Linked DNA regions of Elephas maximus indicus. The protein of the gene in region 4 interacts with the protein of the main gene of each other region in a biochemical or structural test. Links are inferred from orthologs where the notes say so. Each region holds a gene or a part of one and is shown on either strand. Other genes may lie near its edges.

The links.
Region 1: the proteins of NRIP1 (region 4) and RXRA form a complex in vitro, tested with the Homo sapiens proteins (2 studies listed by BioGRID). The link is inferred for Elephas maximus indicus from reciprocal best matches to the Homo sapiens genes NRIP1 and RXRA.
Region 2: the proteins of NRIP1 (region 4) and THRA form a complex in vitro, tested with the Homo sapiens proteins (4 studies listed by BioGRID). The link is inferred for Elephas maximus indicus from reciprocal best matches to the Homo sapiens genes NRIP1 and THRA.
Region 3: the proteins of NRIP1 (region 4) and NR5A1 form a complex in vitro, tested with the Homo sapiens proteins (2 studies listed by BioGRID). The link is inferred for Elephas maximus indicus from reciprocal best matches to the Homo sapiens genes NRIP1 and NR5A1.

Annotation. Positions count from the first base shown.
Region 1 is NC_064827.1:4,206,639-4,214,180, reverse strand, and holds the start of RXRA (retinoic acid receptor RXR-alpha), read left to right. Parts: upstream 1-4,360; 5' UTR 4,361-5,487; coding exon 5,488-5,587; intron 5,588-7,542. UniProt on the Homo sapiens protein: Receptor for retinoic acid that acts as a transcription factor.
Region 2 is NC_064837.1:47,293,263-47,300,995, reverse strand, and holds the start of THRA (thyroid hormone receptor alpha), read right to left. Parts: upstream 3,054-7,733; 5' UTR 2,833-3,053; intron 2,652-2,832; exon of another isoform or gene 2,486-2,651; intron 1-2,485. Other genes in the region: MED24 (mediator of RNA polymerase II transcription subunit 24), read left to right, coding at 6,433-6,533.
Region 3 is NC_064827.1:75,535,017-75,542,381, reverse strand, and holds the start of NR5A1 (steroidogenic factor 1), read left to right. Parts: upstream 1-4,358; 5' UTR 4,359-4,564; intron 4,565-7,365. UniProt on the Homo sapiens protein: Transcriptional activator. Essential for sexual differentiation and formation of the primary steroidogenic tissues. Binds to the Ad4 site found in the promoter region of steroidogenic P450 genes such as CYP11A, CYP11B and CYP21B.
Region 4 is NC_064836.1:46,669,170-46,677,091, forward strand, and holds the start of NRIP1 (nuclear receptor-interacting protein 1), read left to right. Parts: upstream 1-4,812; 5' UTR 4,813-5,049; intron 5,050-5,956; exon of another isoform or gene 5,957-6,035; intron 6,036-7,922. UniProt on the Homo sapiens protein: Modulates transcriptional activation by steroid receptors such as NR3C1, NR3C2 and ESR1. Also modulates transcriptional repression by nuclear hormone receptors.

The DNA.
Region 1 (7,542 bases), on a different chromosome or scaffold from region 4:
TGTTAAGTGGCTGGTTGGGGAAATGCTGCAATTCTGTAAAACAATTACCTTCTCCCCAGAATGAACCCAGCGCCCTTCAGCTAACAGCAGGGAGAGTGGAAGCCACCTCAGCCCAGAGCCCCGGCCTTTTGCTCTGTCTGCAGGGGGTGGTGTGTCTTGGTGTTTATCGTTTCTAAGCAAAAATGGAATACAGAGTTTCCGTTTCTGTCAAGGTTGGGCTGTCCTGTGAGGAGGGGGGATTGCCCCCACATTCCCTGCCTGTTTTTTGGGGGGAAGAAGGAGGCCTTTCCCCGGGGCTGGGCAGCTAGAGGAGAGGCTGCGGGTGCTGGATGCTGGGGACACTGGCTCTGCCACGCTTCTGCTCTCCGGGCAGCACTGGACCACTAGGAGGGCATTCTGAGGGGCTGGGGGATTCTGGGCCCCCCACAGGGTGTGTGTGGGGTTGGCCTTGTGCCTTTACCTCCACGTGTGCCAGCGTCTGTCTCGTTCATCTGTGCTGCTCCCGTTGTCCATTACCTGTGTCCCCACTAGTGTTGTGACACCAGCCCCCCTGCTGCCCGCTGTGGCCAAAGGGGCCAGACACAGGCTCTGCTCATCCCTGACAGCTGCCTCCCTCCTCTCTTCCTTCCTCCTCCTCTCCTGGAGTGCAGTCTGTAGTCAAGCAGCCACTGCTGACTGGCTTCATGTCTGTGAGCCCCCTGTTCCCTTTCTGTACAAGAGGGTGATGCCTACAACATGGAGTTGTTGAGAGAACTGAGGGGGTCTATTGTGAAGCGCCCAGCACAGGGCCTGGCGTGCCGTGGATATCAGAGAACCCCCCCCAGCCTGGTTGCCATTTGCTGGTGGGGCTGGGGCTCAGGGCATCTGCCTTCTTCCCTCCCTTGAGGCAGGGGCTTGGAGGTGGCTCTTCGAAGCTGAGAGGAACGAGGGGCCGGGCTGCTCAGCAGCCTGGTGCGGACCGTGTGGCCGAGGGAGACAGGACAGGTGCATTAGAGGAGGTGGCCTCTCTGGCGTTTGTGCACCCTGCTGCATCCCAGGCAGGCCCCTGCTGCTGGTCTTGAGCCCTGAGCTGGGCAGGCGCACAGGCCCTGGGCAGTCCCAGAGGGTACGTGTGGGGTGGCCTTGTGTGAGGTCTACCTGCAGCAGTGCATGAATCAGGGCTCGGTTCCCTGAACATCCCTGTAGGAGTGTGTCTGTGTATCAGTCCACCCACCTGTGTGGGCCTTGGGCCCTTAGGGTGGCCAAGGTGGTCACTCTGGGCGGGTCTTGGTGGGCACAGCACACACTGGCTTGGTTGCAGCCCTGATCAGACTAGCCCATCGATGTGGGGGGGGGGCGGTGCCCAGGGCATTGGTTTTCCCAGGGGGCATCCAGTTGACACTCCCTCTGAGCTCAGCACTTTCCTGGCGCCCTCCTCCCTGGGGTGGTGGGTGGGGTCAGCTGTCTTCCCATTTGCGCAGTGATGGGCAAGGCCTCAGGCTTTGGATGACTTGCTCAGCCCCGGGCTGATTCAGGATGGAGTTGGGGTCGGGACCGCAGCTTCGTGTGGTAGATTTTGGAGGGAGTGAGGAGCACCCCAATTCTTGTAGAGATTTTCATTTCTCCTGCCGGGAGCCTGCGGCCGCCTGCTGGTCTCGGGAGCCACGCCACTGCGTGTGGTGAGCAGGTTTCACCCCGAACTGTGTTTGGGGATTAGGCGGGAGCCCGGCAGGAAGCTGGCAGCCACAGAGCTGTGGGCAAGGCTGGGAGGCGGTCAAGAGCACGTTGAGGCCCGAGGCCACCCCGGCTGCTTCGGGAAGGGGTCTGTGCTCACTGTTGTCACAGGGAGGGGGCGTGTTCTCGACGGCATAGGCAGTGTGGGGCCCCGTAGGCGCTGCTGTGCTGTGGTTTTGCGCAGGGACCCGGCAGTTTAAGTCTCTGGAATATGGGGCTGGGGATTGAGGTTGCCTGCCCCTGTGGGGGACCCTTGGCCTGGAGGGGAATGTGGGTGCTTACTGGTTTGTTTGCGCAGAGCCAGGCTCTGGGTGGCCCACGGAGCTGCCCTCTGGGTGGATGCTGCCTAGTCAGAGCACCTGGTGCTGAGGGGCAGGGGCCCAGTGGGGGCTGTGGCCACCACAGGCCTGGTCAGTGGCTCTGGGTCACACGCCAGGGGGTGGGGAGCTCCGGTGGCTCTGGCAGGCAGCCTGGTCTTGGGGTTTGCTGAGGGAGGGGCGGCGACTCTTCATCCTCAGAGTGGCCCCAGCCCGGCCAGTGGTGGTCCTGCCCCATGGCAGCTCAGTCCCGCCTATGGCTGCAGAGGACCCTGGAGTGGCGCTGGGTGGGCTGGGCGGTCCTGGCTGTAACTTTGTTTCATTTCGTCCAGTCGGCTTGTCCTCCGTCCTGTGCGGAAAGAGAGGCCCAGCCCTATCTTGGGGTGGGGGCACCAGGAGCCCCTGCCTTTACTCCTGGCCAGGGAGGGTGGTGATGAGCTCTGAGAGCCTCTGCCGCCGTCTTCCAGTCAGTGAAGACACACAGCTATCCCCCGCTCCTCCCAGCGATATGGCTTCTGGGCTCTAGTTCCCGCCCTGAGGCCCACGATCCGCCTAGCCCTCCCACCCCCAGCTGGCGGCTCCCTTTAGGAGCACATGCACGAGGTAAGCCCCTCCTCAGTTCTCTCCTGTCCCTGGGGGCTCCTGAGGATGGTGTCCTGGCCTGTCTCCTTCACAGCACCTGCCCATTTTACAGGTGAGGAGACTGAGGCCCGAGACAGGCAGACACTGGCCTGAGGTCCTCAGGGTGTCCGTTCAGAGCAGAGGCCTGAGGCCCACTGGCTGACCTCCCTCCTGGGTGAAGCTCTGTCTTTCCGGAGGCCTCCCATGGGGAGGGGAAGTGGGCCTGGATTGAGAGTCCCAGCCTCCAGTTCAGCAGAGCCCACAGGCTGGCCAATGGCTTCTGCTTTGGTGACCAGAGAGGGTGCAGCAGGCTTTGTCTGTGCTCCAGGGCCATTTTCGGCTGCGGGGGCTCCAGCGCAGGGCCTGGTGTGAACTCAAGTGGTCTCTTGGGCCTTTCGAGGACTCCAGCCCTGTGGGGGCTGTGCAGCTGCTTTCTCAGTGCCCCCCACCCCCAAGGGCATTGCCTGGGCTCCCAGGTACCCTCTCCTGCTGCCCAGCGTCCTGAGCGGTCTGGCATTGCTGGCGCTGTCTGCTGTCAAGCCTGGGCAGGTGCGTGTTCAGAGGGCGGCCTGCCTGCCGGTATGGACGGGGGCGTCGTGCCGGCCCCATGAGTCATGCTTAGCCCAGGGAGGGGGTGGGTGGGGCGGGCTCCAGGCCGGCGTGCCGAGGCCTGTGTGTGGCCTGCCTGGGGCCTGGCTTGGGAACCTGGGGGCTGTACATGGGCACAGGGCGGCAGCTGGGGGCTGCCTGCTCTCCCCTGTGAAACAGAGGGCTGGATTGAGGGTTTCATGTCCTCAAGATCAGGTCTCTCCCTGCCCTTCGGTAAGCCGGGAGGAGGGTCTCAGGTTCCTGTCTGTGAGGTGGGGTGGGCAGGCTGGGTGGACTGGGGGTAGGAGCCCCTTGTACAGGCCCTACACCACTCAGAGCTCGCCCAGGCAGCCTGTGTCCCGGGGTCAGTTTAGAATGGCCAGGAGAGTTCAGCCAGGAGGCTGAGGGTGGGACGCAGATGGAGTGGTCAGAAGCTCGGCACCCAGGTTCCTTTTCTGGCAAGGGGAGTGCCTGAGGACCAGATAGGAGAGGGATTGTCCAGGGCCGATGGCCAGTGACCTGCCACTGTGGAGTATCTGCCACCCCTGCCCCGGCCTTGTTCTGTCCAAACTCCTGCTCCTGGGCAGCGTGGGAAAAGGAAACTGGCTGCCAGCCAGCTCCCCCAGGATCCGAGCACCTTCGGCCAAACCCTCACTCCAAGGCTGGGAAGGTCTGAGGCCAGAAGAGGGCCCTCTGGGGCTGCAGAGCTGCCAGATCAGGATCATGGAGCTTTGAGCCATAGGGGTCTCCCATGTGGCCAGTAGCCTCCACCTAGTGTGAGGTCTGCAAAGTGGAGGTTCCCCTTATCAGAGACAGCAGAGCCCTGATCTCAGGAGGGCCACCTGGAGGACTCGGGGGCTCCTTTTCTTGAGGACGGAGAGAGGTAGCCCGGGGCTCCCAAGGAGGTGGGCCAGCTGTGGCGGGGCTTAGAGGGTTCAGAGGCCTTGAAGTGAGACCAGGGGTGGGGCCAGTCTTGGAGCCCACAGTTGGGTGGGGGACGCAGACCCACAGAGGTGTATTGAGGGGAAGGGTGGGGGGGGTACTTGCCCACTGACACAAGTCTAAGGGGGTGGCAGATGAGATGTGGAATGATATTCTGAGGCGCCACAAATAGGAAAGGTGCCCGCCTGAGACAGCTGGACAAGGGGGGGAAGGTGTTTCCGCTATTAACGTCTGCTCATCTTGAATTGGCAACTTAAGAGATTGCCCCCGGGCACTTGTTACCCTCACCAGGCCCCTGCAGACCTGGCGCCTGCCACAGAGCTAGGGCTGGATGCGCTGAGAGTAGACTGCCTGCCAGCGGCAGGGAAGCCTTCCTCGAGGAAGCGTCCCTGGCGGGAGCCGAGAATAACCAAGGGAAGGACATGTTCGTGCTTTTTCTGAGGCTAGGACTTCGTCCGGCAGGGGCAGATGGCTACTCCCACACGCCGACCTCAGCTGATGTGCAGAACGGAGGGGTTGGCCCGGGCAGGCACCTGATGATGAGCGGGCAAGCAGCCAGTGGAGATCCCTGGCGGATTCAGAGGTTCTTCCGGCTGACAGGGCCTCCTGGCCTTGCCCATCTTTAGGGATTTTTTCCTGGTCAGCAGCTTCGAGGGGTGACACCGTGAATTAGTGGGGTACCCGGGTGTCCTCACCAGCCCAGCTACTGAGAAGCAGGCAGCTTCCTCACCTATTCTGGGTCCGGACACAGAGGTGCCCAGTGGTGGTTGGGCTGCGGCTATGCCTGGCACCTTTTTGTGCTCTGGGGTGGGGGTGACGAAAACGTGTCTGGGGCTTGCCCTTCGTCGTACGGTACATCCGTGTAGTGGTCAGTGGGGCTCTCCTGAGGTAGCCCCGGGCCTGTGGTCTCTCTGCTGAGGCTCCCAGCCCCCCTGCCGAGATAGGGCCAGAGGGATGGGGCAGCTGGCCAAGCTGAGGTGTGGAGGGGAACTGTGAGCTGGGCCTCATTTGCCTGCCCCCGCCCGTGCTGGGCCTACTCGTGCTGCTGGCTGAGGGTGTGAGGAAGGAAGCTGGGGGTGCTGTGTGTGTTTGCTGACTGGGCCCGGAGGGCTCCAGCCAGGGCGAGGCCCGGGGGAGGGCAGTGGGGGCTGCTGGGGGCCCGTAGGGCCTCCCAGGTCCAGGAGCCTGTGCTGAGGAGTCCAGAACAGTGCTGTGGCAGGGTCCAGGCGGCAGGAGAGAGGCCTGGCCTGCAGGCTGAGAGGAAAGGCAGGAGCCCTGGGAGTTCTCCCCAGGGCTGCCATCTTGGATGCTGCTGCCCTGGCGAGTGGACCCGACACAGGGGGCTGGATACCAGGAGCCCCTTGGGCTTGGGTGGGGCAGCAGGTCTGCGGACTCCGGGTCCTGGGGTAAGTGAAGGGTGCTTTCAGCTCACTGGTCTAGCTCTGTCCAGCCGAATGTGGGGAAACCAAGGCCTGGAGAGGGGCAGCTGATATAAGCTGGTGCACGTTTACCAGCTGGCCCTGGGGGTGGGGCTTCTCTGTGGTGTTGGCCGATTTCCGTGGTGGGAAGTCCCGTCACGGCCAATTTCAAGCCACCGACCTGACTCCCCTGAGTGTGGAGTTGCTGGGATACGTGCCTGAGAGTGGGCAGCTGGGATCCCGTGGGGAATGTGTCTCTGCCCATCCTCAGAGAGGCACATGCGTGCTTGTCACGATTCTGCACTGGGCCTGGGCTCTGTGCCTGCCACATTCTTGGCTCTTGCTGAATGTTGGGAGCACTCTGGTTGGGGGCCAGGAGGCATTAGGCCACGCCCAGGTGCAGGCTCAGACCCTCAGGGCTTGGTGTGACCTGCAGACAGGGCCTGTGTTTGTGCAGAGGTGGGGATGGGTGGGTGGGGGCTGGGAAGAGGAAGACGGCAATTGTGGAGGGTTGTTTTGTGGGGCCTGAGGCTGGTCCACACGGGTCTGAGGGGGTGGGTGGGCTGGGTGCCAGGCCCCTGGTCAGGACGAGCCCCATTCCCCCAGGGCTGGGTCGGCTGAAGAAGCTGCACAGTCCCCGGCCCGCCTGCTCCCTGTGAGGCTGAGGTTAAGCCTTGGGAGCCCTGAGGTCTTCTCTTCCCTGACCCCTGAGGACTCAGGGGTTTGTTTCCAGGTGATGTGGCTGGTTGGGCACGAATGAACCTATTGGGTGAGGTGAGCACCAAAAGGACTCCACAGGCACCTCCCCACTTCTGCCCCACCCAGGAGCACAGGCCCTCAGGCAGTTGAGGAGGATCTAGGGGTCATGGATGACCACCAGCCACAGCTGAGTTGGCTTGGCTTGCCTCTTGGGAATAAAGCTTTTGACTTGGGCTGGGCAAGGAGGAAGTAGGCTGGGCCCTGATCCTTGATCCAGGCAGGACTTGACCACACCCTCCTACCTGGGTGAGCTGGCCCAGGTGTGGTCCTGGGCCCTGAACCAGCCGTGGACGCAGCAGGGGAGGTCAAGGAGGAAATGGGGTCTGTCTGGCCAAGGTCTCGCCGAAATCGGCTTGGGGGGTTGTGTCATTGTTATGAAATACCACGTCCAGGGGACACAGAATCCAGGCCAAACGAAGATGCAGAAAAGGGCACACTCTTGCCCACCAGAACCGAAGCCTGTACCCGTTCACTCCGCAGTGTAACCCCTTGTCATTCCTGAACCCCACTCTGGGCAAGCTGAGCGTAGGTGCCTGCTCCATGTGGTGGGTGTGGGTTCCCAGCGGACTATGGTGAGCCAGGAGCTGTGCAGGTCTGCAGGGAACACGAGGGGGCCTAGGACAGCCGGGTGGGGAGAGGCCTGGGACTTGGGGATCTAGTGAGTTCCAGTGGTGTGTGCCTTTATAGGGGTGGGGGGCAACTGCCGCGGGTCCCACAGCCACTGGGGTTTCAGGTGTCAAGAGCAGTGTGAGCAGATGGTGGGTGCGTGCATGGCGCGGCCTGGATGGAGTGACCAGGGGCCTGGAGGGAGACCAAGGCCACGTGGCTGCTGAGTCCCAGGGGCTGTCGGCTTGGGCGTGAGGCTCTGTGCTCCTTCTCTGTAAGTTTTCTGGGAGCATGGACCCCTCCCAGTCCGCCCTGCTCCTCAAGCCCTGGGGCACTGGGGCAGCGCCAGCCGTGCCTCGTGAGACTGACAGCCACAGCTGAGTGCAGCCTGGGGGCTGGGTGTTGGGTGGGCTGGGAGGGCCTGTCAGGTGGCATGAGACTTCTGCTGACCCCCCCAGTCCTGGGCCATGTCACGGCCACTCGTCCCCTGTACTGGCGTTGCTGGGTGGCAGGAAGTGTCCAAGGCCTGGTGATGGGGCAGTGGGCAGTGTGCCCTGCTTTGAGCTGTTCTGGGTAGT
Region 2 (7,733 bases), on a different chromosome or scaffold from region 4:
ATTATTTTCTAGCTTGGGTCAGTGTAGGTGAGGCTCCCTACTGGCTTGTTTGGGACCTAGCTAGCTGCAGGCTACAAACCAAGGGCTTCCACAGAGCTGGTGTCCCCTGGCTGAGCCCCCCAGCTGAGGGGTCAGCATGGGCAGCAGCTGACCTCCCTCCTTCCCATTCCCAGCCCCCCCAAACTGGCCAGCCACAGCTGTAGCATTAAGGAAGCGCAGGATGTCCTGAGCAGCCAGCTGAGCCCCCCACCCCCCACCCCAACCTCTACTTGACCCCAGAGGCAGGGCAGGCGGGGCGCAGGGGCGGAGTTTGAGTATTAACAACTGGAAAAGTATGAAGAACATCACCGCCAGTTCCCAGCTCTGAGAGAGGAGGCTGTGGCAGAAACAGAGACAAGGATGGGGTAGTGACAGGGTGAGAGAGTGTTCCAGACTGGCAGAGAAAGACAGAGAGAGAGGGAGAATCAGGCGCAGCAAGACTGAGCAACAGAAAGAGAGAGAGAGTTACAAATTCCAAGTCAAAAATACACATCACTCACCCAGACACTCAACAGCATACGGCCTCCTAAGGAAAGCTTCCAAGTTTGGACAGAAGGGCCGAGGTGGGAAAAGGGGCCCAACTCATGGTGGGAGGCAGGAACTCAGCTGGGGGCTAGGGTGCGTCCCCAGGAAAGGCCCAGGCATATAATCCACAGCAGGGGCAGCTAGATCCCCCAGTTTGCTTTTAGGGTGGGGATGAGGACCACTCCCTAGGAGCCAGCTCTCCCCAAGACACCCCCTCCCCCAGCACTCAGGACAATCCCAGCTGCTAGAAGTCACTGGGCACTGCTTCAGACCCAAGACTGGGCCCTCTGGAACCTCCCTGCCCCTACTCTCTTTGCTCTTGTTTCTCAGTCCCTCCAAAAAAAAAAAAGAGTCCATTCCCTTAAAACTCAGTGGCTGATCCTAGAGGAAGAAGGAAAGAAGACATAGAAGGAAGTTTCAGGAGAAAAAAGCCTGTGATTTTGTGGGTATCCAGGTGTGTGTCTGACTGCATGGGCTGCAGTGTGTGCATCTGGGGTTGTCTGGACACGACTGTCAGGGTGGACCTGAGACTGTGTGGGCCTGGGCTTGTGAATTGGGTCTGCACCTGAGCCGGTGGGACTGTGCAAATGAGTGCACCTGTGTCTGCAGTTCCCACAGTCAATTAACACATATTTACAGGACTTCTTGTGCTAGGCTCTGGGTGGTAACCAGAGCTGTTGAAGTGATTCCCCCAGGTCTCAAGGAGCTAGGAGGGTGGTAGGAGACAATCAATAGAGACTGAAGACGTGTTATCCTGAATGCCTGCCTCCTTGTACCATGATGCAAGAAAGTCTTTTCACAAAGGTGAATTTAATTTTCTTAGGAGCAGGAGTTTTGCTGTATACAGAACCCCAGAGCCACACAGTAAGAATCCAGGAAAATACTTGTTGCTAAGTTGTGTACATGTGTTGATGTGTAACTGCATTTCTGTGACAGCGGCTGTCACGGCGGGAGATGATGTCTGTGTGACTGGGGTTATGTGAGCACATGTGTGCCTGTGAGTGACGGGGTCTTTTGTAATTGTGCAGCTGTGTGCAACGCTCTGTGTGCATGCATGCTTGTGACAGTGACTCCTCCTTGCCCCTGAGTGTGACAGTATCTCTGTGTTACCCTGTGCGTGGGTATGTTCATGGGTCGCTCTCCCTGCTCTTGGTCTCCCGTGGGTGTGTCCTACCCCTCTGAGCTCCACAGTGCAGCGGCAGCCTGCCCCTTCTCTTGTCCCCGTGTGGGTGTGTCCAGCAGCTCCTGTCCTTGAATCTGCCTGGGTGTCCCTGGGTGTGCATGTGGCTGTCTGTGTGGGCATATTTCTGTGTCTGCATGTCACATTCGCTGCCCCCCTCATCTAGGACAACAGCCCCCTTCATCCCCTCCCCCTCCAGCCAGCATTGGCTTTTCTTCTGTGCCCCCACCCCACCCCTGAAGCAGGTGGCTCTCTCCATTGTCCCTATCATCTGCCCCCCCCCCCCCCCGCGCAGGCCTCTTCTTCCACATGGACAAGGGAGGCTCCAGACAGAGAAGGGGCATCAGAGACCCATTGCAAGGAGCAGAAAGCAAGGAGGGAGAATACACACAAGTCCTTTGCTCCCTCTCTTCCCCAGCCATCCCAACCTGCCACGCTTCTAATCTCCTAGGGACCCTCGACCACAAACCCCCCACACACACTTTCCCCCCCGAGTCGCGTTTTTGCAATTAGGAGTGTTGCAACCAGAGAACCATGCTCAATTGGAGAGGCGGGTGGAGTGGGAGGGGGAACTTCCCTCTCCCCGCGCCCGTGCAAGGCCACCCCCCGCCCCCCCACCGCACTCCCACTGCCCTCCGCAGCCGGAGGCAGCTTTGCAATGGCCACTCGGCCTCGGAGGCTAGGGGTGGGGGCTGGGGGGGGCAGGCCTCCGGCGCACCGTAAACAAACAGCGGCGCGGCGGGCGGGGGAGCTCCGGCCGGCCAGCAGCCCGGCCCGACCCGGGAATGCGCAGCAGACTGGCCGGACAGAGGCCGGGCGGGCCCTAGAGGGGGAGGCCCGGACGCCATCTCCACCGGCGAACCCCGGGGCCCACCGACCTCCCAGCAACACCTCCATTCCCCAGGGCGTAAGTTGCAAGCGCCCGGGCTATGACAGGGTAACTGGGGCGCCGGGAAAGGCGGTGGCTGGCAACCGGATCCCCTGGGCGCCCCCAGACCGCCTAGGAGCTAGCCTTAGAGCCCCGCAGCTTTGCATAATCAATCGCGATACATTTGCATATTAATGCCCCCTCGCTCCCTCCCCCTTACCTCGGCGTGGCGCGCTGGACCGGGCTGGGCAGCGACCAGGAGGTCTCAGCGCCCCGAGCCGGGGGCGTCCATGGGGGGCCAGTGGGGCCCGGCCGCCCGCCTCCTGCGCCCGGGTGTGAGTGCGAGTGAGCGCGGGGGGGGGGCGGGGGGCGAGTGTGGCGGCCCCGCGGCTCCTCCAGCAGAGGCGGCGGCCGCTCTGGCTCCTCCCTCCCCCGCCCCGCTCCGGCTGGGGCTCGGGCTCGGCGCGCCCGGCCGGCTCGCGGCTGCTCCCTGCAGGCCGCCGCGCCGCCGCGGGCCCCCGCCTCCCGCCCCCCGCCGCGCCCCGGGACCCCCGCCAGCGCCCGGCCGCCCCTCGGCCGCCTCGGCCCCCGCCCTCTCAGATGCGCCCTCCCTGCTCAGGCGGCTCCTGCAGGAGTGGTACTTGCTGACAGATTTTGGAAAAGATGTCTTTTAAAAAATAGCCTTTGCTTGGGCAGTTCGGGGTTTTCGGTTTGCACCATGGGGGCGGGGGGGGGCCTGGGAGAGAGTGCCAACGGGCCTCCTGCACCTCCTAAATAGGGGGGAAAAGCCTAAATACCAAACGCCTGGAGGTTTCGAGTTCATTTCAGAGTTCGGGTCCCTTCTCTGCCAGTACCTCACTGTGTGACCTTGAGCAAATCACCACCGCTCTCAGGGCTCAGCTTTTTCAACCTCAAATGAGAGGGTTGGGCAGGTGACCCCTGAGGTTCTTTTAACTTCAGTCATCCTTTTAGGGGTTATCAGCTCATTCCCCATTACCTCCCTCCCCTCTCATTTCTAACGTTACTGATCAGCAGCCTCCCCTTTGAAATGTCACCCTTTTCTAAAATACGCTCTTTATATCTCACTGTCACCAGCCTTTTCCCCAACAATCTGACCCCGCTGAGCTCGGGGAGGGGCCAAACTTGCCATACCCCCTCAACTCCCAGTTTGACAGGGATGGCATTTTCTCCCATGTTTGCCCCCACTAAAACCCAAAGGTACCAGGGCCATTCTAAGGAGGAGGGTGGGCTGTATAAAAACGGACCCCCTTTCCCAAAAGGGAGGTCTCCATTGTGCTAACCCCACCCCCCATGCACACACACATACACACCTGCATTCATGGACATAAAACCATCCCAGTGACGCCAGAGCCCCTTTCATCTCAGGATCTCCCAGCACCAGGCAGAGCTCTAATTACCCTAGCACCCACTCCCCACCCCACCCCCCCGCCCCACCAGTTCCCCTGCTGTCATTAGCCCAGTTTTACCAGCGGGGGCCACAGCCTTCCCACATCTCCTAGGGTGGGGCTCCATCTTCACAGCCTGCTCTTGTGGAGGTGTGTGTGTGTGTGTGTCAGGAGGAGCCTTTGTGTTCATAGCCCAGTTTGTACTGGGCAGAATCACTTTCTGAGTGTGGGATTCTAACTGGCTCTGGTGGGGTTCTGTTGCTCAGCAAGTCAGGCTGCCCTTAATCATCTTAGTCTCAGCCACCTGCATCCTCAGCTCTGTCAGAGCCACTTCTCTTACAAGGGGGACTGGGGTTCACAATTCATGGGGGAGAGGAAGGTGCCTTTCTCAGGGCCCCTGGGGCCATGGCAACGAGAAAGGCGGCTGGGGTGGCAGCCATGGGGTGCAGAGTGGATGGCAGTGATGAGGGCTGTGCAATGCATGACAGGAGCCTGCAGTGTGCATGCAGTGGCAGCTGTGGTATGCAGAGACAACACAGAGTGAGTGAACATACAGGTTCAGTCTGGGCTCACAGTGGACACGTGACAGCTGCAGTGTGGGGCTGGAGGCTGCAGCGTGCAGTGTGCAGTGCGAGGTGCACTGAGGGTGGCTGTCTGCGAGTCACTGCCACCTCAGTGATCAGCTTTGGCTGAAATCCTGGAGAATAAGTCTGCAATGAGCAGCACTCAGGGTGTGTGTCCCACCCACTATGGAAATCGCCCCATAAGACTGGGCTGCCTGAGGATTTGGCCCATGAGATACACTGGTAGTCTGCAGTGAGCCTGGCAGAACCAGGAGGGGATAGACAGGCCCAGAGTAATCTAGATTGGGGCAGGGGTGATGAGGCCCAGAGGGAGAATGAGGCACCTTGAACTCAAAGAGAAGAGTTTCCCCTTTCCATCTTCTTATCTCTCTCCCTCTCTTGGTTCCCAATATGAGCTGGTGACGGACCTGGGCAAGGGCAAAGTGAAGGGCATACTGGCTCCAAAGCAGCAGACATCTTGCCAGGTGCCAGGATCTAGCCCAGGCCTGGCCTTACAGCCCTTGCCCCTGTTTTGGGCCATCCCTCTTCCCACCCCACTTACCCTATCCACCCCTGTTTCTTGAAGCTTCCAGCTCTTCTTGGATTCAGTTCATCCCTGGCTTCCATTCCTCCTGGCTACAAAACCCCCACCTGGGCTGTGTTGGCACTGTCCCCTTCCATCCCCCCACCTCTGCTTCATATCAAGCCCTGAGTCTGTAGGGAGAGAGGGAGGGTGGGTCACAAGTGAGGATGGATAAGGACCCTCCAAGGGGATTTGTCTGGCAGCCTGCTCTCTCTTAGATTTCCGTTGCCAAGGAGGCAGCAGGAACAGCCTGTTCTCTGGCTCCCATCGGAAAAGCCATGCTCAGTCCCTCCCTCTCTCTTTCTCCTTCCTTCCCTCCCCCCTTTCTCCCAGACTGTTGCTAGGAAGCACCCTAAGATTTCTGGAGGGTTCCGTTCCTAGGGACCAGAGACTCCAGATATCTTTCTGAACAGCTTCCTCCAAAAACCTAGCAGCCATGATCTTACACAGCATCCTCTACCCCTGTCAAGAAGCCTCGCACACCCCCAAGCAGTTTTTTTGGGAGCAAGCCTTTGCCAGCCTGCCTTGGAACCAGCTCTGTGGTCCCAGCCTTGGTGATTCTTGTCCCTCATATCAACCTCTTAGGCTCTGGGTGATATCAGCAAGTGATAAGGTATACAGTGGAGATACCCCTTGGCTCTGTAGACACAGCCCCACTTATTGGGGTACACTGGAAAGACAGCAGAAGAAACTGAAACACTACCGTAGAACCTAAACCCCAGGTGTCTCTTCCCCTTAGAGATCTCCCAGTCAAGAAGAGACAGGGAAAATGGAGGAAAGAAAAGCTGGGGGGGAGGCAGGGAGGAGGAGCAGACTGTGGGAAGTTAACGAGTAATTACTCTGAAAAGAGTAAGCCAAAAACCAAACCTCCCCCCCCATTCCCATCTAGTCAATTCCAACTCATCGTGACCCCATAGGACAGAGTAGAACTGCCCCACAGGACCTGAGGAGCAGCTGATGGATTTGAACTGCTGACCTTTTGGTTACAGCGAAGCTCTTAGAAAAGAGGAAAGTGGCCACTCAATTCACCTCTATCAATCTCCTTTGTCCCGTCAGGTGACTGGTTATGGGTGGCAAAAGAGGGGGCTAGGGAAGGGACTCAGGCCTGGCTGAGCCTTGCTTTTGGTAACTGAGGTAAAAAGTGGAAAAAGAAGCTGACACCTTCCCCAGACTGTATTTTATTTGACACACATTATTTTCACCATTTAATGTGTCAGGTATTGGATCCCTCAGATTTTCCCAGCTTCTGGTTTCACTTTCCCTTACAGCATCCTCATCACTGCCTTTACCAAAAAAGAAAGGAGCTGAGGGGCAGACTGCTTTACCATCCAAGCCTGGGGCTGACCATCCTGCGTCCTTCCCACAGCAGGTGAATGGGAGGGTCTGTGTCGAGGCAGGCAGAGTATACAGTATGTAAGGCAGAGTGGCTCTCAGGCCCTAGTGTAAAGGAAATAGCAGGCAGGCCTCCTTTCCCTGCCACTGTCCAGGGCTCAGGATCACAGTACTTTTCTTCCACTCTAGCACTTCTCTTCTGTTCCTAAAGGCATCCTCCAGGGTGTCAGAAAGGAAGCTATTCCAAAGGTTGGTTCAAATTCTGCTTTTCATTGTTCAGCCAGTCTCTTTCTGGACCTCTTGTGGGGGCAATGAGAAGACAGAGACTGGGAACAGTGGGGGACCCATGAGCTGTCCCTGAGGTGTGGTCACCTGTAGGCCTCTCCCCCATCATCTCCTCTCCCAGACAGAAAGCAGGGATTTTGATTTGGGAACTGGAGGGGGAAGGGAACTGGTTTGGAGCCAGCTGTGTATGAGTGTGTGGGATGGACATTCTTTCTTTCCCCATCCACCTGCTGCCAGTTAAGTCCCCATAGTGGAGGGACCCAGGCAAGCTTCCAAAGAAAGATCTCCCAGTTAGGAGAGGGTAATGACTCAGTTTCCCTATGGAAATGAAAGAAGTTGAAACCCTCTGTGTCTTGTATGCTTGCCAAGTATTTCAGTCTTTCTGGGCTTTTAGATTTGGACTCTTGCCACTTTTCCTTATACACCTTCTTAGCCTAGGTAAGAAGTGTACCCTTCCCTTTGGGTACCCAAAACTCTGTTCCTCACAACCTCTTTACCCACCCCAATCACCCACTCTGGCCTAGTTCCTTTTTTAGCCACTGCTTCAAATGTTGCCATGTCACTGCCTGACTGGCTTCCATCTGCCTGTCTTCTCCAGCCAGACCCCTTCCCCAGCCAATCTAGCCAAAGGATGAAGAGATTGGGGCTCAGAGCTAGGAAAGCAGACAGGGGAGCTCAGCCCCTATCTGTGCTGAATCAGAAGAAATAGATAGAAAAGCAAGTGGAGTAAATAGGTGGGATTTTTGGGCAGGACTGAGGGGAGAATTTCCTTGTATACCCTAAGGGGATATCAGCATCTCTTCTCTCACCCTCTGGATGATTATCAAGGAGTCTAGTCCTTGTGGAATCTAGTCAGAGAGCTGAAGAGGGTCCCTAGGAAGATATTGGGGAGGTGGTGTAGAGAAAGACTGGCTTCTGATATTTACAGACTAGAGAGCCAGAAGGGCAAAGC
Region 3 (7,365 bases), on a different chromosome or scaffold from region 4:
GAGGCTCAGAGACAAATGCTGAGGGCTGGGGCCAAGAGGCAGGGGGTGGCTCTGAGTAGTGGCTCCTGCCTACCCCCCAAGCACAGGCCCACCGGCTGCACAGCTGAAAAGGAATGTGGGGAGCAAGGCTGGGTCACCCCTTGAGGGCCAAGAGTGTGCACCGTGAGATAAGCTACCCCAGGCAAGGGGCTCCAGCTGTGGCTGCACACTCCAGGAGCATGGTGGGGCAGCCCAGTCCCAAGGCTGCAGCCCAGCCCTGCAGACACCCAGCTCCTGCATCTCCTCCTGAGGGTCTTCACTAGGAGACGCTCATATACTTGAGTTTCCCAGGTCCCTCAGCCCAGCCCTGGAACTTTGAGAGCACCCAGAGTCTGAGTGTCCTGTTCACAGAGGCACAAGGTGGGTCCTGGGGACCCAGCCAACCTCACAGAGCCTCTGATCTCGCTTCTCCAGCTCTGGCTGCAGCCCTGGTTCAGGTGAGGGGCTATGGGGCCACTGAGCTGACTGTGGAGACCAGGAGCTCCAGTAGGCTGTGGGTGCAGAGGGGATGCTGTGGCACAGCGACCAGGCACAGGACTGTGAGTTGTCCCTGTGTGGCTTTGCACACTCATGTGCATGAGGGTGCGTCTATGTGCATGTGTCCACATGCTTCCTCGCATGTGGGGACGTGCAAAAACGTAGTATCCACACATTACCAGGTCCTCCCCAGGTCCCCATGTCCGAGGGACTAGACCTTCTTTAGTCCCTTAGAGAAGTGGCCCCCAGAGGCATCTGGTCTCTCCCACCCCCACCAGGTGGTGCAGCCCGAGGTCCAAGGGGCAGAGGGGGAAGAGCGTGCAGGTCTACTGCAGGCCCCTGGCTCCCCTCCCCACACTGCAGCTGAGGCTCCCGCGGCCACGGCCTTGACCCAGCACTATGGACTTCTCTGACATTGGCATCGGATCTGAACATCTGGCAGCAGGCTGATAAGGGGTGCAGCGGAAACAGCCTCTGCTGCTGCCAGTAGGCCCACCCCCTCCGCTGCCCTGCTAGGGTCTTCACACTCCCTCTGCCTCCAGCTCGTGGGCCCCAGCCCCTCTCTCTTTCCTCATTTTCTGCCTCAGTCTCTCATTCTCTTTCTTTGTTGCTTGCTTGCTCTGACCATCTCTGGGTCTGTTTTGCTGTCAGTGCATGTCTGTCCCTTTTCCTTCTCTTTCTTATTTTCTGCCTCGGTCTCTCTATGGCTTTTCTCTTTTTCTGTTTCTCCCCTTTCTATATCATATCCCAGCCCCGACTGGGGGATTCTGCCTCTCTCCTCTCCTTTTCAGTTTCTGGGTATCTGGTTTGTTTGTTCCTTGTTCCACCTCCAGGAAATAGGCCTGGCACTTTGGGAAAGTCCCCACTTAGGAAAGAGACCCTGGGCTTTGTTTGCCTGGGGAGGGAGGGAAACAGGAGCCTAGATCCCTTCTTCTCCTCTTCCAGGTGGGTCTCATGGCCTGGGACCACCTGGGCTGGAGTTTGAAGAAGAGGACAAATAGACAGGCCACCCAGGGGAAGAGTGGGGAAGACTGAGCCTTGAAGCCAGGCTCCAGACTCCTGTTGACTGGACTTGAACCCTGGCCCCACTACATCCTCGCTTTGGGACTTTGGGAAGTCTCATCTCTCAAATGCTGCTCACGGGGGTGGGAGGAGGGAAGGAGGAAAATACTACCTACTGCCCTAGAGTGGTGGAGAGGGTTCAAGACTGATTGCAGGTGAGAATGGTTAGTAGAGGACCAGGCACACAGGAGGCACTTTGGTTTTAGAGCCTTGTCATTCTCAGCTTTGTGGCAACTCTGACTCCTCCTGTGCCCATGGAGCACCCAGTATGGCTGTGGGCAGGGCAGCAGCATAGAGTAGGGCGGTAAGCAAATGCAGGCTTCATTAGAAATTTGGGGTGGAGGGTGAGGAGTGCCCAGCCTGAGTGGTCACTTCCTTCCTACAGAGAAGGGGACAGGACAATGGAGGGGCAAGTGGCAGACCTCTATACCCACAGGCAGCATCTGGAGCCCTCAGTGCAGGGCATGCAGTCATTCAACAAATACTTGCTCTGTGGTTGCTGCTGTGGACCCAGAGACAAATCAGCCCAAGCCTTCTCTTGAGGGTTCCCCAGGCTGGGGTGAGTCACTCTATCATCTCAGTTCATGATAATGTTGCACTCTCAGACTCAACACAGAAAGGGCCCCTAAGGACAGATCTGTCAGGCCTTCAGCTTGTTGTTTGTGTTTTGTTAACCTTTGCTGAGCACACACTATGTGCCAAGCAGTCACTGAGTATGTTACATGTCTTGTCTCATTTCATCCCTATTTTTCAGAGCATATGAGGTCCAGAGAGGTGAAGTGACTGATAGAAGGTCACACAGCTAGAAAGTGGAAGGAAGGAGATTCAATTGAGAGCCTCCATCGCTAGTCCTTCAGCAAGTCTCTTTCTCAGGGCGAGGACTCACCAAGAGACTGTGACCAAGCCAGCCTGGTCCCTTCCATGGCGTCATGGCGTTAAGAGACCCTGTCTGCCCTGTGTAAGAAGGCAGGGAAAGTGGACACTATTTTACAAAATCTCCCATGAAAAGAGTGCAAAGAAGTATGATTTGTTGTTGCTGTTACATGTATGTGACATGTTGGTGGTACAGGGTTTTTGCTGGGATGTTTCTTCCTTAAATCTGGAAGATGAGTGGTATTAATCCAGAAACAAAATCAATACATTAAAATGGAGAGACTCGTTAGGTTCAGTCATATGCAAGACTTGTAAGAACTTCTGTAGGTGAAGAAGATAATTACGAGTTTGTGCGTGTAGGGAAATAAGTTGTATGCTATATTGTAAGTAGAGTTAAGATATATTTAATCAGTTGTTATTAGGTGCTCTCGAGTCAGTTCTGACTCACTGCGACTGTATGCACAACGGGACAAAACACTGCCCAGTCCTGCGCCATTCTCACAATTGTTGCAGCCACTGTGTCAATCCATATCGCTGAGGGTCTTCCTCTTTTTTGCTGTCCTTCTCTAGGGCCTGATCCCTCCTGACAGCATGTCCAAAGTATGTGAGACACAGTCTTGAATCAGTTAATTATGACTGCCAGCAAAATAATTGTCTTGTATGTATTTCACAATAAAACATTTTTTTAAAAATGGCACTGCGGAAAAAAAAAAAAGACAAGCTAGATTTTAAATATAGTTGGCTTTAGTTATCTAGAAAAATCCCTCTCACCCCAAGCCAGGTTAGTACGATGTTCTTTGTGATTTGCCCATTTCCTCAAATGAAGGTGGTTGTTTGTGTATGGGGCGGTTCTCAACATAAATTGCCCCATGGCCAACCTGTGTTCCTTCTCATTTCCCAGGCCTAATGGGTGGAAGGTACATCCTCTGAGGACAGAGACTTCTTCCCTTTTCTTCACTGCAGGCTCCCCAGTGCCACTGGATGGGTGTGCCTGGAATAGTGCCTAGTGTACACTCAGCAAACATCAGATGGATGAAGGGATATACAGATGAGCATGTCATGCATGGGAGGGTACAGGGCAGAGTAATCTGGGCCCCATGGGACCAGGTCAGTTTGGGACCTGTGTGGGTCTGCAGATTAGATGGGGTCATCCCAGGCTTCTGCAAGAGACCGAGATTTCTAGATAAAACCCCTTTCCCTTTGCCCTGCCTATCCTGGCCTAGCTGCCCACTTGGCCCAAACTAGGGCCCACATAGCCAACCACCTGGCCCAGAAGGCAGTCTGAGCCCAGCCTCAGTTTTCACAGCTATCGACTAGGAGCAGCAGCCCAGGATAAATGAAGACATTCAGAGAAGCCAACAGTGAATGCACACGGGAGGTGTTCAGTCAGCTCACCTGCTTGCCTTCGGTTCCCCTCTTCTTTTCTTCACCTTTTGGAAGAGTAAAAGGACCAGGCCAAAGTAGAAGAGTCCCCTGGTCAAGTCGTTCATGCCCCTGTCTCCTTGCCAGCCTGGCCTGAGTCTACTCCCATAACTGGGCCAGGCCGGACCAAGCTGGGCCAGGCCCCAGGGAGGTAGCCATTCAAGGGGAGAGAGGCCAGGCTGCAGGCTGGGTGGGGGAGCAGCCCATAAATCAAACCCCACTCCTACCCAGTCACTAACAAGCGGGCTGCCTACCCGCCTACGTGGGGTCCCTGCCTCTGGGCTCCCACAGCGGCTTGCAATAGCCAGCCGGCCAAGGCCTACAGAGTGCCTTGGCCTCCGCCCCCACCCGCGGCCCCCAGATAGATAGGGGTATTTTTTTTTTTCTTTTAGGAGATGAAAAAAATAGACCTAAATGAAGAGAAACACCAACAAAGAAGGAGAGAGGCCTGCAGAGTCACGTGGGGGCAGAGACCAATTGGGCCTCCGGTGGCCCCCCCCCCAGGGCGGGGAGGAGGAGGAGGACGAACGGACAGGGCCAGTCTGCTATCCGCCCGCTGTCCGCCGTGGCGAGAAGGAGTTCCTGTGTGCCCACGACTGCCACTGCTCCACCTGGGCCGCTGGAGCCTCCTTCTGGACCCCCGGTGTCCACTGTCCACTCTCATCTGGTATAATTGCTCGCCTTCCGCTCCGTAAGTGAGGGCCTGGGCCCAGGCCTCTAATGGCCAGCCTCTCTCCTCAGTGCCTCCCTGCGGCCTGGGCTGGCCACTGCCTGCTTTGCTGAGTGACTGGTGCCTGCTGCCCTGGGCAAAGAAGGGGCCACGGGTCTCCTCAGACCTGCCCTCCCACCATGTTAGCCCTCTTCTTCCCTGAGCGGCTGATGGGAGGAGCTAGGCCTGTGGGGACAGGCCTTATGGGGGTCTGCGGGTGTTCCACTGTCTATCCATGGCCGAGTGTCCACAGGGATGTATCGGTCTGAGTCTAGTACTTTGTGAGTACGTCCATGGATCTCTGGGCCCCGGTCTTCGGGCTCTGGATCTCCCTGCCTATGTGTCTGTGTGACTCTGTGATGTCTCTGAGCTGTGTGTTCCATGGCTCAGTCTATAGTGTCCATCTGTCAGTCCCAGTCTGTGGCTAGGCCAGGTGTATGTGGGAAGGAGAGGGTCCTCTCTCTGCTTCCCTGAGCATGTGGGTAGAGGGCTGCAGTCACCCACATGTTGCTCTGACACTTGGAGCTGTGGCAGGAGGGCGGTGCACAATGGAGCCTTGAAGGCTAACCCTAGGGCCCCAACCTGGAGGAAAAGGGAGTGAGGCAGAGGGAGAAGGGAAGAACTAGCCCAGCTCCCCCTCCACCCAAACTGGCCCCCCAGCCCAGACTTGTTCTCACACTGCTTGGGTCTTCTTCCTGGGTCAAGATACCCCAGGTGGGCTCTAACCTAGGGAAGCCTACCAGTGCCCTCCCAGCCCAGCTCTCTCCCCCAGTAGCCCCCCTGCCTTCCCCTACAGAGGTAGTACCTCTCCTGTTTTCCATTTTCTGAGGGCCCCTCCCCTCATGGGGGCCTGTTCAGTGGCAGTAGTAGTCCACCCCCACCCTCTTGTAAATGATGTTTTTTCTTAGGGGTTTGGAGTGTGGGTGGGAGCCTGCAACTAACTCCCTCCGACTCTCTCTCGCTCCCCACCAAGATTTACGCTCATTGACTCATGGAAACCGCAGAGCCCCGTCTGTTGCGCCCATCTTTTCCATTTTATAGACGGAGAAACTGAGGCTCAGAGAGGTGACATGACCTGCCTGAGTTTGCACAGCAAGTCAGCAGCAGATTCTGGCCCTCATTTCGCGGGGTGAGCGGGATAAGGGCTGATCTGCGCAGGTTCGCTAGGCCTTGGCTCCCAGGACTAAGGAGCCAGCTCTGGCAGAAGTCGGAGGCGTCGCGGGTTCAGGTGGGGCAGGCCGTGGCCAAGGGTCCGAGCCTACCGGCCTCGGCGTTTAGGTTGGATGCGTCGCTGCGGCAGCATAATTGCAGCATTTCTCAGCATATAGAAAGCAGCTTCTTGGCCTCACCACCACCAACCCTCACTTTCCGACTCCAGGTGCTCGGTGAAGCCGGAGTAGGATGTCAGCGGACCCCTTCCTATCTAGAGTCTCAACCTCTTCACTGAAAAATGAGAGTGGTCCGGTGGTTGTTCCCAACTGCTTCGCCGGGTTGGCCCAGAGACCCTTTTGTCCCCAAGGCTGCAGGGCGCTCCCTTCCCCCGCCCCTAGCCCGGCTGGGAGCGCAGAGCCGGAGGAAGTGGGGACGGGGTTTCTTCCGCGCCAGGCTCTGTCTTCCCAATGCGCCCGCTCCCCGTGTGGCTTCCGGCCCTCAAGAGACCCTGGAAGACTTGCAGAGTGGGATCACCACTATTCCCAATGAGCGAGCTGAGGCGCATGGAGGAGAAAGGGCTTGCCCCAGCTCTCCCAGCTGAACGCGTTGTTGGGCGCTTCCTCCATGCCCCGAGTGTGCTTTGCTAACACCACTCGGGTTCATCAGCACGACCACCCTTACGGAAGAACAGTCAACATTCCCATTTCACAGATGAGGAAATTGAGGACCAGAAAGGAGGGAGGTTTTTGCTTAAGGCTCGAATGAAATAATGGGGCTGGGCCAGGGCGAGACTCTGGTTTCCAGCCTTGAACCCCTGCCTTAGCCACCGTTTCCCCCACGCTCGTCCTCGCCCACATCCATGCTGCACAACGACCAGAGAGCCCCGAGCGTGACCCTCGCCACAACTAAGCTGAACATGCAAACAGGGGCCCGCTTCCTCCCACCGCAGGCGGGTGGCCCAAGGCTCCCCGGCGCGAGGCACCTGCCCGGATCCCCTGTCGCCTGGATTCTGCCACCTCCTGGCCGCGCGTGGGCTCGGGGATGGGCTGGGACTGGGAAGCTGAGGATGAGGATGAGGGCGCCGGCCGGGCCGGGGCGGGCCTCCACCCCCGGATAACGCACACCGAGATATAGAGTGGCGGGTCCCCGGCCCCGTGCGGAGGCTTCGCGCAGCAAGCATAGGCTGCGGAGGGGCCCGGGTCCCAGGTGCGCCTTGGTTCGGCCCTGGTGGCGCGGGGGTGGGGGTGGCGAGGAGGCGGGGGGTGGGGAGCGCCGCGGCCCCGCGCCCCGGCTTCCCCGCCCCCGGCCCGAGCGGCCGTCATCGCGGGCGGGCGGCGCTGCGCCCGGGTGCGGCTCATCGCCAGCGGCGGCGCGGCCGGGAGGTGCGGGGCTCCACGCGGGCGGGACGCGGGGCGCTGCTGCTCCCAGGAGCCGCCAGGTGGGCGCTGCGCGGGCCGCGGCAGCCGTCGGCCCCGTCTCGCGTCCCCGCCCGGGTTCTGCACCCTTCCCTCGTCCGGACTTCGACTCTCCGCCCGAGGTTGCTCCTCTGCCTCGGGCTCGGCCTTCCGGAGCCCGCGGGGTCTCCGCCCGAGGTCTCCGTGGCTCCCCGCTCGGCGCCCGCGGTCTCCGCT
Region 4 (7,922 bases):
CTTTCCCACACTCTCTCTGGAGAAGGTGGGCATTGAGATGTAAGCAGGAATTAATGGTCGGTCCTTCCCAGAAAGCTCCTTGAAAGGGTGATAGATAGACCACCTGACATTCTTCCTGTATGGAAGGTAGACTTGATAACTGGAGCTCTGTAGCTAACTAAGATCATAAGATGACCTTTCAGGTGAAAACCAAGAGCCAATGAGAGCAGAATAGGAGCAATCTGGGTGCCTAATGACCATGGCATCACGGCTTTTTGGACTCCGTAGGTATCCCAGACATTTTCTTGTTTGGGGACTAAAAAGGCATCACCATACATTTGCATTTTATTATTTGTCATTTCCTTGTACACTTCCAGCTGCCTGGACTCAATTATTTTCAGATTTTCTTTTTTTTAAAGATCTAACCCTAGTCCTCATGACTCCCTTTAGTGTAGAAATTTAGTATCCTAGTACTTCAGTCCCACCCAAAATAAAAAGCTCCAATTTCATTAAAGGAAAGCTGCATAGTAACCTGCAGAAAGGGTGTCTGAACATCTCCATTTGAGCTTGTTAGGCCTCCTTCAACGCTCAGGTAGCTGTAGCACATCCTTATTGCCGCAGCTTTAGGTAGGTGGCTGCCTCAAACAAAGGCTGGGCAAATTTTGTAGTCCACAAGTAACTGAGCATGGAGTAGTTGAAGAGCAAAACCTGGCCTTCTACAGCTAGGGGGATGCTTCACAGTAACTAGCATAGAGGTAAGTCTGTGCTCTAAAAAAAAATAGGGAGGACTTTTTTTTAAGCTTACTCAACCCAAAATTTTTAGCATTTCATTTCTGCCGTAGAGCCAGTTTACATTTACAGTCCACCACCGTAGATGATAGAGATGGGGTAGTTGTAACTATAATACGATTAATGAAGACACAGTACATAAAGTGTAAACTTTGTTGATTCTCTAATTGGTATAAAAGCCTAGACTCAAGAAAATAGTCTTTATAATGCAGTTTAGTTAAACACTGGTAATCGGCACAAATTAAATCTAAGCTTTAATAAGAAGAGAAAATTCCTTTTGGCTTTACCTAGTTAAAAGTTTCACAAGTTCTTTAGAGATACACTGTCTAATACACTGGTCACTGGCCACATGTGGCTACTGAGCACTGGAAAGTGGCTAGTCCAAATCGAGATACACTGCATGTGTGAAATGCATGGTGGATTTTGAAGACATAGTACAAATAAAGAAACCCTGGTGCTGTAGCAGTTAAGAACTATGGTTACTAACCAAAGGGTTGGCAGTTCGAATCCACCAGACCTTCCTTGGAAACCCTATGGGGCAGTTCTACTCTGTCCTATAGGGTTGTTCTGAGTAGAAATTGACTCGGCGTCAACGGGTTTTATTTTGTTTTTTTAGTACAAATAAAATAATTTTAAATATCTAATTAATAGCATTATGTTGATTACACATTGAAATGATAATATTTTGGACACATTGGGTTAAAGTACATTGTTAAAATTATCTTCACCTGTTTCTTTTTACATTTCTAAATGTGGCTACCAGAAAATCTAAAATGACATGTGTAGCTCATATTTGTGGCTTTTTTTTTTTTAATTGTGCCACGCTAGAGGTTATGGGGCTGTAACTAAGGGTATAGCTACACTGAAGTTCCATCTGTATATAATATATCCATTATTATTATGTATAATATATATACATATAAAAACCCACTGCCATGGACATATACATATATATATCCCCCCAAAGTGTAATAGTTCATTCCATAGTGTGTAAGTTCAATAATTCTCAAAGCATGTTTTTGTTTTCTTCCTACTTCTCTATTGTAAAACAGTCTGTATCTTCTCCTGAGAACTCCTTTCCCACTTTGTCTACCTGGCAATTTCTTCTCACCATTTAATAGCCAGTTGAAGCATGACTTTCTCTGTAAAATTTTCTCTGATCTCCCTTGCTCCACACCCAAATAGAAATAAACATTCTGTCCTCTAGGCTATGACAGTATCTGCCCCAGTGTTTACTGAATGCCTTCTGTTTGCAGAGCACAGGGCTAGGTGGTGGAGATATCCAGATGTGAGTGTTAGGGATATGGGTTCCCTGCCTATAGTGTTTGCGTGCTAAGTGCTAAGTACAGACAAGCAAACACCCCATCACTAAATGGTGTGAAAAGTGCTATCACAGGAGAGGTTCAGGTGGCACATCTGAGACATACCTCACCAGATTATTTTTTTGTGGTAGGTAAGCATATTGAGCCTGAACTATAAGTATCTGATCCCACAGGAACCCTGGGCTTAAAAAACAAAACAACAAAAAAACCCAAGTGTGTAAATGGTTAAAAAATTTTTTTCACATCACAATTTATTAAAATGAGAGTTGGCTTCAAAATACAAATTACTAAATAGGCATGCTTCTATTACATACAAGCCCCAGGATCCCTGTGATGACTCTTAGCCTGGAATTTGGGTATTGATTAAAAAAAAAAAAAGAACAACAAAATCATCCCAACACAATTAAGCAGGATTAAGTAAAAATGAATTCCACAAAAGGTGTGCAATTTACTTAACATGAGTGCACTGTCAAATAGGGTTTGAGACTTCAATGATTGGCTTTCTGTTGGTGTTGAGAAGGCAGATTCATTACAAGGAACTAGCAGTTCTGCTCCCCCTTTGTTCAGTCATCTAACATATGGCAGTGGACTTTTTAAAAGTAGTGTTGAAGGGCAGGACCAAGACTTAGCTTGTTGGGTTAATTATGTAACCTCAGGTTTTAAGAGGTTGTTTATCTAACAGCCTCAACGAGAAGCAAAAAGAATGTTTCAAAAGCAACATTCGAGCTGTCCAAATATCTGTCCTAGAGTCTACGCACTAAGGTAAATGTGCCTTACTCATTGGTGAGTACGTAAGTCTCTGACATGGAACCTATTTAGTTTTACTTTAGACAGGATTGTGACAAGCGAGGCTATCTGAATTCCCAGTCTGCCCAGGCTAGAAGCTGCCAATCAGAAGAGGAGGGGAATGTTAGAGGCAGGAATGCTGGCAACAGAGAGACAACTGACAACAGATTGTCAGTTAGTGAAGGGGGAGAAACTACAAAAGGCCGAGTTAGTATCTAAGTGGTAGCATTCCAAAGTCCTTTATTCAGCCATTGATGTCTTGAATGCAATGGTTAGGAAACCCTGGTGGCGTAGTGGTTATTTACAACGGCTGCTATCCAAAAGGTTGGCAGTTCGAATTCACCAGGCGTTCCTTGGGAACTCTATGAGGCAGTTCTACTCTGTCCTATAGGGTCGCTATGAGTCAGAATCGACTGGATAGAATTTTTTTTTTTTTATGCAGTAGTTAAGAGCTAAGGCTGCTAACTAAAAGGTTTGCAGTCCGAATCCACCAGCCACTCCTCTGAAACCCTATGGGGCAGTTCTACTGTGTCCTATAGGGTTGCTAGGAATCAGAATCAACTAGATGGCAACAGGTTGATAGCTCTTTAGCCTCTGGGAGCATCCTTAGCACCTGGGAAGATACCTGATATAGAATAGGAAATCGATGCGTTTGTGGAATCCACTACAATCTACTACAATAATTCATTTTAATAAAATTGACCTCGGATTTTCAAGAAAATGTTAAATGACGTTCAATGAAGTGCTTGAGAAAACAGAAACATTTATAATACATTTTGGAAAATCTTTCCCATAAAAGTTAAAGCATATTTTACCAAAAAGTTTGGCCCCTTAAAGGGACAAACTCTAATTATGCTGATCATCACTCACTGGGGCAGTTTATTTTGTATCAGTCCTGGATAAATGACGTATTACAGAACAGCAGACTTTACTAAGGAATTCACCTGGAGCAGATTTCGAACCGTGGTATATGCAAATAAACTATTACATGAAGTTTAAACCGTATAAGAAGGCAACAGATTGCATAGTTGAATCACCAGGCTGATGTAAAACAGTTTTAAAATGCACCATCACTATTAAGCAAAATATTCCTGCCATGTGCCAGGTGCTGTGCTAGGTGCTAGATTTATGAAGAATTATTTTCAAAAATGGCTTTCGCTTTCAAGACTGTGTAGGCATTCCGAAACTCTCATTCATATTTTTAAAGGTTAAGTGAAATTTTAAATGCACAATACAACCATTACATAACAGACATGGAACACGGTTTTATAACTTGGATAGTTTTTTTTTTTTTTTTTTAAAGTGCACTAGCAACTCTATTTTCAAATGCTACCAAATTGGTAAGGATATGAAAATCTACACGAGTGGAGTGCCTGACTCATTTGTGTAAGAAGTGTTTTAACACGAGTGTGCCATTTCGGTGTTTAGGGTGAGGCTAAGCTGTACTTCAGCGTTTTTGTGCCAAGCAAACACAATTTCAGCAGTGGCATCCATTTCCCTTGATAATTGTTTCAGGGGGAGTTACTAAAGCTAGAGCCAAAGAGAAACCTGACATAGGTGATGTGTTGAGGGAGTGTTAATAGTTCTAGTTAGAGGTTTGGGGAGCTTTGAAGATAAGATGTGCGAACAGCAAACGTAAAGAGAAGGGGGAAATTATGGTTTCGTATGACTCTCTCCTCCCTACACTTTCTCGCTTCACCAATCTATAACCCTCCCCCCCACCACACACACACACACACACACACACACACACACACACACACACACACACACACACACACACACACACACACACACACACACACACACACACACACACACACACACACACACACACACACACACACACACACACACACACACACACACACACACACACACACTGAGAGGCGTGTTCAGCGAGATTAGGCTGCAGGAAACCGAGGTACACAGAGCTGCCGCCCCGGCCTCGTGATGTAATTGTTATTTCTTATTCGGAGACAGAACCGAAGAGAGCTGCTGAAGTGGCAGCCCTGTTCTTTTCGCCTTGTCTTGTCGGGTCAAAGGCTTTCCGGGGATGATGTGGATTCGCTGACAGACTCCGCTGGAGACTTCGCAGTGACAAAGCAACTGAAGATAAACCCTGTTCCTGGGTCCTACGTCCGTCCAGGGAGCTGAAAGGGGCGCTCCTCAGGTCTCCTTCCCAGTTTTCCTCTCGGAGGCACTCCACATTTATCGTTGGGTGCCTACTGCGAGCTGGCCAAGGGGCCCAAGTAACCTAGTGTTAGTGCCCTCGCCCCTCAAGATTAAAGCAGGACGCACAGATTAAAAGGATGTGGAAGTTGGAGGGTGGGTGAAAGGTGCCGCGGGAACGCGTGTAGTGGGGTGAAATGGGAGGAGGGAGACTCATACGGCGCCAACAGCCAGGCAGGGACCCTGGAAGCATTTAGGGTGCCCGGTCGCCCAGGCTGCGCCCCGAACGCGAGCCCTTTGTCCTAACGTAACAGGAACTATGCCCCCAGGCCCCGGGGAGGAGCTGTCCAGGTGCCTGAGGCGGTCGGGGGCGGCTGGACAGATCCAGGAGCCGAGGGGGACGGCTGGGACGCGCCGAGCACCCACTTCTCCTTGCCGACGCGGTCCTCCCGCTCCCCCCGGTCCTGCAGCCCCGGCCCGGCCCTCTGGGTGGCGGGCGAGGAGGAAAACAACAAAATAGAGGGGTCTCCCCAGCTCCTGCAGCCTCCTGGACCCGAGCGCCCCGGAGAGACGGGGGAAAAAAGGGTTAAGAAACTTGGCTGAAGAGCTGAATGGCGTGGAGCGGCGAGGGGAGGGACTGGGCCGCGGAGGACTCGGCGGCAGAGGGAGGAGCGCGGCTGCGGGCGGGCGGGCGGGCGGGCGGGCGGCGAGCGAGGCGCTCAAAGTCAGCCTCGCAGACATTGCAGCAGAGCCCCGAACTCGGGAGGCGGCGGCGGCGGCGGCGGCGGAGGCGGCGGTCGAGGCGGAGGGACAACCCGGCCCCGCGCCCTCGCGCCCGCCCGCCCGCGCGTGCCCGCCGTGGCCTCGCGTGGGCCGCTGTGCTCGCGGGGAAGAGCTCGCCGGGGCGCAGACGGAGGACGAGGCGGCAGGGCGCCCTCGCGGACTGAGCCTGACGGAGCCGCAGGCTCCGAGCCGCAGCGGCTTCGGGTGAGTGGCGGCCGCGGCCGGGGGGCTGCGAGGAGCGGCCGCTCGCGTCGCCGGAAACGGCCCCGGAGCGCGGCCCGCGGCGTTGGCGGGCAGGGCCGCGGGGGCGTCGGGGGCCTCGGTGCTGGTGGCGGAGCGAACGCAGGCAGCGGTGTGGGCTCGGCGGCGGGGAGGAATCGTTTCCGGGGAAATCCCGCCTCTGCTTCTCCGCCCCTCCCGGGTTCGAATCGCCCCGGGAACCCGGGGGCCCGGGGGGCGAGGCTGGCAAGTTGTGGAGTTGTAGCTGGGTTCGCTAGCCCGCCCGTGCCGGCTCAGGGCCAGGGCAGGGGGCGGTTGAGGGTCCCTGGCGGCGGGACGGGCCCGGGGGGCGGGTGGCCGGGCTGGTGTCGCGATCGGTTCGGCTGTCCCCCTCGGCCCGGAGTCCCGGGCGCTTCTCGCCGCGCCGCGCTCGGTCCTGCTGCCCCGCGGCGTCCTGGGCGGCGCCGGGCGCTGCTCCCCGCTTCTCGCCCCGGTGCCTCCTTGGGCTGTGCTCGCCCGATTCCGAGCCACGAAAAGTGAATAGGACAGGGGACAGCTCTGTGGGCCCCCAGGCCCGCCCCGCCGGTACCGCTCCCGAGGGCGAGGCCCCTGGGACCCGAGGCCTCAGCCATCATTTTACCTCGGAGCCAGGAAACTGGCTTTCATTTAGGGTGAGCCCGGAAAGGTCCTCGGAGCTTTGAGGAGCCTCCTTTTCTCTCCTTAGGTATGTGTCCTCCCTATTATTTTTGAATATCGTTGATTTATGAAGGCTTTCCATGCAAATCGTTTTACATACCCGCCTATCCGTTCCAAAGTAGTTTTTAAAATTTTAATCAGGAGTTCATCTCCAGTCAGTAGGAACAAAGGAATCAACTGTGTCTTAGAGAACAGGCTGGAAGTCTGACACATGTTGATCGCTGAAGCATTACAGGAGTTTCTAGTTTTTACCACGTTAGTAATTTAATTGGTTCGTAAATAGAGGAAAATAGGAGAATGAGAAGCACTTTTGTTTTAAAATGTTTTTTTAACGGGACATTTTATTTTGGGAGAAAAATTGACTTGTAACTCAGTTGGTAGAACTCAGTTGGAGCCTATCGCCTGTAATGCAAGCGATTAAATGTGAGGTTGTGGGGAAATATTTTCTTTACAGGAAGCACGACCGTGTATAGGTGTCTAAAGTAAAAATGGTTGTCGGTTATATACGATGAGTACTCTTTTCATTTCTTAGGGAATTTGTGAAGTCAGGGGCTCTGGTAATTCATTCTTTAAAGTTATGAGTTGCGTTGAAGCCGCTTATTAGTGAATCATAGGTTTAGCAAGTGGGCGGCATCTTCCAGATGAGATTATTCAATGTTTAATCATCAGTTTGCCACCTTTGTTGAAGAGAGCAAAATAAGTGGACTTTTAAAAACAAGTGGGCGCTTTTCATCTGTCAGGCACCTAAGTGTGGGTTGCTCCCTGGAGTGTATTGAAATGTTTTTCAACTTCCAAGCAAGTTACTCTGCTTTTGTCTGGCGGTTTGGTAACAGTGGTTTGGTGACATAGGTAGGGGTTTCACTGGTTCACGGAGCAGTGGCTTTAGCACTAACAGTAACTTTTCTCTGCCTCTTCTTAGCTCTTAGAGACAAAAGAAGGAGGGTTGATCTATGGAGCAGCTGCTAACCTGCAGGCTGCAGGATTACTAGATCTGTGTTGTACACTCTGCTGGGGAAAGACCTCTTTCCAAAAAAAAAAAAAAAGGGTCTCAGGAGTGTGAGTAAAATATGTATTAAAAAAATGAGAGGACTGCTTGTTGTTGATTTTACTGAGATGAGTTCCCAATAGTGTATTTGAGGTAATTGGAAGCTGAGTTTAATGCCTATGGGAAAATTT